2 linked regions of the Ovis aries genome follow. The protein of the gene in region 2 interacts with the protein of the main gene of each other region in a pairwise test. Links are inferred from orthologs where the notes say so. Each region holds a gene or a part of one and is shown on either strand. Other genes may lie near its edges.

The links. The genes of interacting proteins can lie anywhere in the genome.
Region 1: the proteins of XRN1 (region 2) and ZFP36 interact in a two-hybrid assay, tested with the Homo sapiens proteins (2 studies listed by BioGRID). The link is inferred for Ovis aries from reciprocal best matches to the Homo sapiens genes XRN1 and ZFP36.

The regions. Positions count from the first base shown.
Region 1 is NC_056067.1:48,457,739-48,461,216, reverse strand, and holds ZFP36 (mRNA decay activator protein ZFP36), read right to left. Parts: upstream 2,329-3,478; coding exon 2,305-2,328; intron 1,455-2,304; coding exon 501-1,454; downstream 1-500. UniProt on the Homo sapiens protein: Zinc-finger RNA-binding protein that destabilizes several cytoplasmic AU-rich element (ARE)-containing mRNA transcripts by promoting their poly(A) tail removal or deadenylation, and hence provide a mechanism for attenuating protein synthesis.
Region 2 is NC_056054.1:247,184,932-247,189,160, reverse strand, and holds the start of XRN1 (5'-3' exoribonuclease 1), read right to left. Parts: upstream 2,801-4,229; 5' UTR 2,725-2,800; coding exon 2,650-2,724; exon of another isoform or gene 2,190-2,649; intron 1-2,189. Other genes in the region: serine/threonine-protein kinase ATR, read right to left, coding at 4,196-4,229. UniProt on the Homo sapiens protein: Major 5'-3' exoribonuclease involved in mRNA decay. Required for the 5'-3'-processing of the G4 tetraplex-containing DNA and RNA substrates. The kinetic of hydrolysis is faster for G4 RNA tetraplex than for G4 DNA tetraplex and monomeric RNA tetraplex.

The DNA of each region.
Region 1 (3,478 bases), on a different chromosome or scaffold from region 2:
TACTATAAAATCTATTAGAATAAATAAAGTCGTCATAAATAAAGGGCCCAAAGGCGGGGGTGGGAGAGCCGGGCGTTGGCAATGGCTTTGGCTACTTGCTTTTGGAGGGAAGTTTGAGCACCAGGATTCCCTTTCAGGTGAGGCTCCAATCACGACACTGGAGCCCCAGGATCTAGGAAGTAACTGGAAGAGGGCATTGGGGGCTTATTATTCACAGCATTGGGCAGGGGTGAAGTTGAAGAGGCTTACTACCTCCCTCAAACTTGCTACATTTTTTTTAAAAGACCCCATAAAACACTCCTTCCCAAACAGCCTGCACGCTGAGGACCTGCCCCAGCGCGGGGGTCAGGGGAGTGAGTTAATGCACTTTGGAAGGTGGGGAGAACTACATGATTACGAGTCCCTCAGTTCCCTACAGCCCCGGGACCCCTTGTGGAACCCACGCACAAGAAAAATGGCCCCCCTTAAGATCCAGCTGATCTGTACTAGGCAGGCACTTGTCACTCCGAAACGGAGATACGATTGAAGATGGGAAGTCGCCGAGGGGCGGCAGGTGGCTGAGGTGGCCCAAAAACCCCAGCCTCAAAGACAGGTGAGTCGGATCCCCCCAGGCTGCTGCCGCTGCTGGCATATTCGTCGGGATCAGATCCCAGGGAGTGTGCAGAAGGGCTCCGAGCTAGGCCACCCACAGGCCCCCAGACGCTGTTGGGGGTGGCCCTTCGGCAGGAAGGGCAACAGGCTGGGGTGGGGTCCCTTCGGGACACAGGTGTCCCGGGGGCAGCAGAGAAAGCAGAGGGTGAAAGTGGAAGGTCCCCGGGTGGCGGTGGTGGGGAGCTGGAGGGCGAGAAGGACCATGAGGGCACGGAAGGGCCTGCTAAGCTTGCTGGTGGTGGCGAGGTTCGGCGGCCCGAGGGCAGCCCTGAGAAACTGATGCTCTGGCGCAGCACATGGGGATGGCCGGGGGCAGCCAGGTCCTCGCTGGGGTTGTGGATGAAGTGGCAGCGCGAACCGTAGGGGCAGCGACCCTGGAGGTAGAACTTGTGGCAGAGCTCCGTCTTATACTTGGGGTGGCGACTGGGCTGGCGCAGCTCACCCAGGCCATGGGCAAACTGGCACTTGGCCCCATAGCGGCAGCGCCCGCTTTCTGAGAAGGTCCGACATAGTTCAGTCTTGTAGCGGGATGAGGTGGTGGGAGTCGCGGTAGGCGAGGTGGGTGAGGGCGACAGCTCCGAGCTGGGTCGAGGAGCCAGGGGCGCAAAGCCTGGGGGTGGGGGCACCCAGCCGCAGCTGCGACCCTCCACCAGGCTGGTGGAGCGGCCAGGCAGGCGGGCAGCGGCCTCAGGCAGGCTGGAGTCGGATGAGCTGAGGCTCCAGGGTCCCGAGGAAGCCCAGCTGGTGCTGGACTCAGTCTCTCCGAGGTCGGATGGCAGTTCAGGGCTCAGCGACAGGAGGCTCTGTGGAAACAACGATCGGTTAAGACACCGAAAATACAGGGTGACGCCCCGCCCCAGCTGCAGGGCAACCAAGGGCTTGCCAGTCCGGTTTGTGGGCTCCCGGCCTCAGCCCCACCCGCCCTAAGGGAAAAAAAAAAAAAAAACAAACCTCGGGTTCCGGATCTCAGGGATCCCGATTTGGAGGTTTATTCGCGATTTAAGCTCATCCCGAGGGACCCACTAATCTCGGCTCCCCCGGCTGGATCAGAGGGGCCCTAAAGTCAGGACAGACTGCTGTTCTCCAATTTTTTAAGCCTCTGGGCCTCTCGGGATCTGACCCCACTCATCGGTTTCTCCAATTTCACAAGTGGAACAGCGGGCAAAATTAAGCCAGGAGTCCGGATCTCTTCGGGTTTAGAATTCCAAGATCCTCTGGGGCAGGGAGCGAAGAGACAGAAGTCAGCTCCCGCTCACCCTGAGACTCCAGCCCCAGAAACGCCTCCGCGCAAAACCGCGCCCTCAGCAACTACTCGGGTAATCCAGGTGTGGGGGCCATTTCCGCCTCCAGACAGCCCCGGTCTGAGAAAAGTTCTCCAGCTTTCCATCTCCGAGGGCCACCCCACTCGTGTTGGGGCCGAGATCAGAAAGCCACAGGCTCCATTTTCATCCCCAGAGGATCACACTGATCTGATCCGGGAGGCAGGAACCCCGGGCCGGTGTGAAGCGCTAAGGAGTTCCAGTTTGAGAAGGGAAACCGGTGCGGGGAGGGCTGGTCCGGGGCAGGAATTTGTTTGCGGCCCTAGAAAGCCCTGGTTTGAGAAGGGAGTCAGGTGTTGCGGACGTCGGGGTGCCGATCGGTTGGGGGGCTCACCTTGTAGATGGCGGCGAGATCCATGGCGGCGCAGATGGCCGAAGGATGTAGAGCCGACGGAAAGTGGGAGCGCTGAAGTCACGCTGCGGTGGAGTGGAAGAGCCGCCACTTTTATTCGACCAGAGGGGAGGCGGGGCCAAGGGGAGTTGGCCCCGGGAGGGCGGGGCGAGGAGGGGCGCTTCCCGGACGCGCGCCCCCAGCGCAGCACTGCCGGCCCGAGTTCGGAGCCCTTCCGCCTGGATCCCGGCCCGAATTCGCCTGAGCGGGGCCCGCGGGCGGTCGCGACCCCGCGGGGAGTGCGTGAGGTGGGGGGTGGGGGTGTCGGCCCAGTTTTCAAGGCTGGAGACTGAGGCGCGGAGAAGGGAACCGGGACGGAGGTGGGGGCAGGGCTCCCGGGGGAATTGACAAGGGCAGAGGCGGAGAGGGCGTGCGCGCGCGACACTGATCGACAGGGGCGGGGAGAGGCGAACCGAGAGCAAGAGAGAAATGGAGGGACGCAAAGAGAAAAACATGGGGGCACACACACACACGGGGGGAGCTACGCACACAGGGAGACATGCACAGAGCGGGGGAGACAGGGTGAGGAGAGGAGGGGAGGTGGGAAGGCAGAGCTTGAAAAGAGACGTAGACAGTCCCCAAAGAGACAAATTCAGAGCGAGAAGCGGGAGGGAGGGAGAGTCGTACAAATAGAGAAGGGGCGAAAACTGGAAGAAACAAACATCCACAGACAGAAATCCGCAGGAGCAAAACAGTGAGAGAAGAGCCTCCCCAATCCTGGACGGTCTTGCTCCCGAACTGCCCAGATCCTGAGACCTGGACCGCCCTCTTTGCTCCCATTCACGAGGATTGGGGGTGAGGTGGGGTCCCACACACCTGGTGAGGTTGGAAAGGGGCCTCATTTCCCAAATACAGGACCGCTGTGTCCTCTCACCCTCACACAAATAATGGCGCTTCTGATGGCTTCCTCTGGGCTAGGCACAATTGCAGAAAGTGTCTTACATACATTAACCCAAGGAGGTATTATGCCCATTTTAAACACAGGGAAACCCAGGCATGAAGAGGCCAAGTTATTGTTAGTGAATGGCATTAGCTTAATACCAGGGCCTTAAATCATATTAAAGGGAGTTTGCACTCAAGAAAACTCAAGATTGGAAAGGGGGAGATCTTTTATTAT
Region 2 (4,229 bases):
AGGAAAACTTTAAAGCTTCCTCTTCTGCTACTTTGGGATAGTATTACAAATACGGTGGTTTGCTTGGTTTGTTTTCTAAGATTTCTCGACTGTGTAATTCTTCCCGACTTTTATCTTCACTTTCTTCTCTTATCTCTCTTGTCCCTTTCCTGATTAAATTTTATTTCACTCCTGGCAGTTTTTCTTTAGGGTAGGCTGTGCCTTAGAATGGTGCCTTGGGAAGTCAGTTTTGAAGGTTCACAGGAGTTAGTTTGCTCTTGCCCTTTAAAACCCTTCAGTTACAGCTACTGCTACTAATAGGCTTGGAGAGTTAGTAAATATCCTGAAGTTCTCTTCTCAGGTTCATCAGATGTTGCCCCATTTTTTTCCTTTTCCTCTTGCAGAGATGCCAATATCAACAGGGTCTAGAGGTTATTGGTAGTCTGTCCCCACCTATTTTATCTTGGAATTCTTGTGTCCCACGGTTTTCTTGCAATTGTTTTATCAATTTAAATTTTGCAACCTAGTATCTGTTTCTAAATAAGTATCTGTTTTTAAATAAGTTTTCAGAGAAACCAAAAACTATGCCCTGTCATTACTACCATCATTTTACTAGAACCCACTCCTCCATCCGATCCCTTCCCCCAAGGACTAGCTTTTGAACTACTGTGACTTACTTAGCACTACCATCTTTTAAGTACTGCTTGAGAGAGTAGCTGGTGATTGCTTTTTGAAAGACATCACTTTGATGAACAAAGTTTTAAACCTATTATTAGTGATTCATATCATAAAATTGCCTGAGAGCCATTATTTTTGTTCAGCAAGAAAATTTCTCAAGATGGAGAAAATCCAAGATCCTTACATCAAACCAAATTCTTTGCCAAAGAGTAGGGAGGTAAAATAATACTGAACAGATTGTGTATTATCAAGTTAGTCTGAATGTCTTAATTTAGAGAGAAAGAGACTGATACATGGCAGGTACTCAAATGTTTGTTGAGTGAAGGATCCAGGAAAAACCTAAGTTAGTTGTCACTATTTTCATCCTCTTCTCTGAAAGAAATGTTTTCCTAACTCAAACTATGTTTCAGATAAATTAAAGACAAACTACCATTCTGCAAGTTTTGGTAAGCTTTTCCTCATATACCAAATCTGATAGGACTCCAACAACAAAGAATACCTCCGGGAAGTTTAACCCTACCTTCCCACTTTTAGTACTTTTTAAAAAGAATAAACCATAATTTAAGAGACAGCATGACGGTGTTCCGGAGAAGGTAATGGCACCCCACTCCAATACTCTTGCCTGGAAAATCCCATGGACGGAGAAGCCTGGTAGGCTGCCGTACATGGGGTCGCTAACAGTCGGCCAGGACTCAGGGACTTCACTTTCACTTTTCACTGTCATGCATTGAAGGAAATGGGAACCCACTGCAGTGTTCTTGCCTGGAAAATCCCGGGGAGCCTGGTGGGCTGCTGTCTACGGGGTCGCACAGAGTCGGACACGACTGAAGTGATTTAGCAGCAGCAACAGCAGCAGCATGATGGTGTTCACTGGATTATTTCCCCTCATATTAAACAATGCTATCATCACAACTAAGTCAATTAGCTATAAAAATTTAAAAAATAATTTTTCCCCTGTAAAATATAAAATGGACAAGAGATCTACCAAAACCATTAAATAAACACAAGCAACAAACACTAGTCCCAAATTCTAGTTTATCTAATATACTGTTGTCGTTCAGTTGCTAAGTCGTGTCGGAATCTTTGCCCGTCTACTGCAACACGCCAGGCTTTCCTGTCCTTCACTATCTCCCGGAGTTTGCTGGCTTACTATTTTTTGCCACAGTTCCAATACATGAACTACATTTTTGAAACGTGCACATAAACTCTGCCCTGGGGTCATTATATACCGAATATGACGATTACAAGTATTATTGCTCTTACAATCTGTTCCTCTCTCCTTTCTCCCCCCTTCTTTTCTTCCTCTCCCCCCACCTTTCTCTAGCACACATACACGCACAATGAAGCCTTCAAATAAGTGCCCTGGTCCCGTCCAAATATATTTTTATTTCTTTCGGAACGGGGGATTGGTACGGTTCTTGGGGTAGTAGAAAAAAATGTACAGAAAGGCATCATAAATATGAACCATCAGCCACGTCAGAAAGTCTAGGCGTTGGGGGTGGGGCGGGATGCAGCTCGAGATAAGAGGAAGTAAACAGGGGTATTCAGCGGCTGAGGCCGGTAGTAATGTTCGTAGGTGGGTCTGCTGCAGGCTCTGGGTGAGGACCCGGGGGAGGCCCTAGGAGAACATCCACTCCGCTTCGAAACCTCTAGAAAGAAAAACGAAACCTGCAACTTCCTGGGAAGGAAGGGGAAGCACTCCCGAGAGCGTTGCTCCCCCGGACTTGATGTCGGAGTCACGTAGGCCCTGCCCCGGCAGGAGCTGTCAGAACCGCCGCATCCCCGCGGCTCTGCCCACAGGAGGGCGACCTGCGCGTTCGCTCCCACTCAGATCACCAGGGTGTCCTCAAACGTCCTGCTCCCCTCCCTTCGCCGCTCAGCCAGCTGACGACGAGCAGCAGGAGGCGGCTGGGAGCCCAGGTGCTAGGGTGGAGAAGGCCGCCGAGCCCCGGCTCCTCCGCCTTCTCGGCCGCTGCCCCCGTGGTCACCCACCTGATGCTCCTTCACCACTTCGCTGAGGCAGGGATATCGCTCCGAGATCCATCGGTAAAACTTGGGGACTCCCATTTCGGCCGTCAATATTAACTCCAGTCAGGGCCCAACAGAAACCAAACGCCCCGCCGGGGCCTACGCAGCCGCCTCCGGCCGTCGCTCCGCGGATGACAACACACCGCCCGCCCGACCATAGAGAGCGGCCGCCGGGCCTAGAGCGGCCGGCTCCGAGGCCGCATCCCCGGGGCGGGGCTCTAGTCCCAGCCGAAAGGCCCGCCGCCGAGCTTCCTGGTGGGTTACACGGAGGAAACCCAAGGCGTATTTGAATGCGCGTGTGAAATTCAATTCTGAAAATGTCAGTTGATGGAGCCGTGCTCTATCAGTGGATTTGGAAGTGGTGTGGAAACCCCATGAGACGACTGTAAGAATCCTGGCTGTCTCTGTCTCCTGGGATTACAAATCTCAGTGGTTTTCAACACGAATTTATAAAGGTCTGATGATTTATTTGGTTTACTTTGTGAGTGGAAATTTTTCGAGGTTACCACAGTTTCTTTTCAAAACTTTCTTTTTCCAGATTACTTGCTTAAAATAATTTCCTAACACCCCTCCATCCAGCTTACTCTACAACTGTTTACATTATGACTTTCCTTGAATAGGAAAGTATATGTTTAGTTTTCACATTTATACCTCTTGGGTTACCCCCATCACACTTAAACTGTACAAAAGGCAGAATTCTGTAAGGTGAACTTAAGCGAAATTACCTGTTATAAAAAGTTTTCCATTTATTTGCATATAATCTCATTGCTTTGTAATTACTATCAATTATTTTAAATCTTCTGTAATAAAACATACCCCCAAATTTATTATTAAAACTGTTTAGATTTTAAAACCTCATGAAATGTTACGTACTGCTTTCCCCTCAAACTACAGGATTCTGCATTCTGGCACACTTTTAGTATGGTAGCATCTTTAAAATTGCAGAATATTTATATAGTTTTCATATTCATGCTAATTGGCTAACTTTTCTCTCCCTATCATATTTTCAACCATACCAAAAAAAAGAGAGTTTTACTAAGTGAACTTAATAATGTGCTGTTTATGTTGTACATCTCTCTTACTAGACAATTCCCAGATGGCAGGGCAACTATTGTTAGCTTTGTGCACAAATATAGCACAGTGTTAACATAAAGAGTATTTATTCAATATAATTTTTTTGTTCAAATGAATCCTTATGCTAGCACTTACAATCAGTGAAAATTGTGAAATGAAATTAGGCTGGCTTGTTTTTTGCAAATATCTTTTTAAAGCATAAAAACATACAATATTCCATTTCTCCAGTTATAATACACAGTATATATTAAGAAAACTGTTTATTTCATAATAACATATATTATTTTAAATATTATTAACAATCAGAGAGAAATACCAGTTACTCTGAGAATATAAACATATGTTGTACTTTGGAATTGAATAGATACAACCACAGATTAATGCACCAAATGCATTAAATTTAGATTATTAACATATTGTTTAAAGTAATTCTATTTTACATATATGGGGTCCAACCAAGGTACATCTGG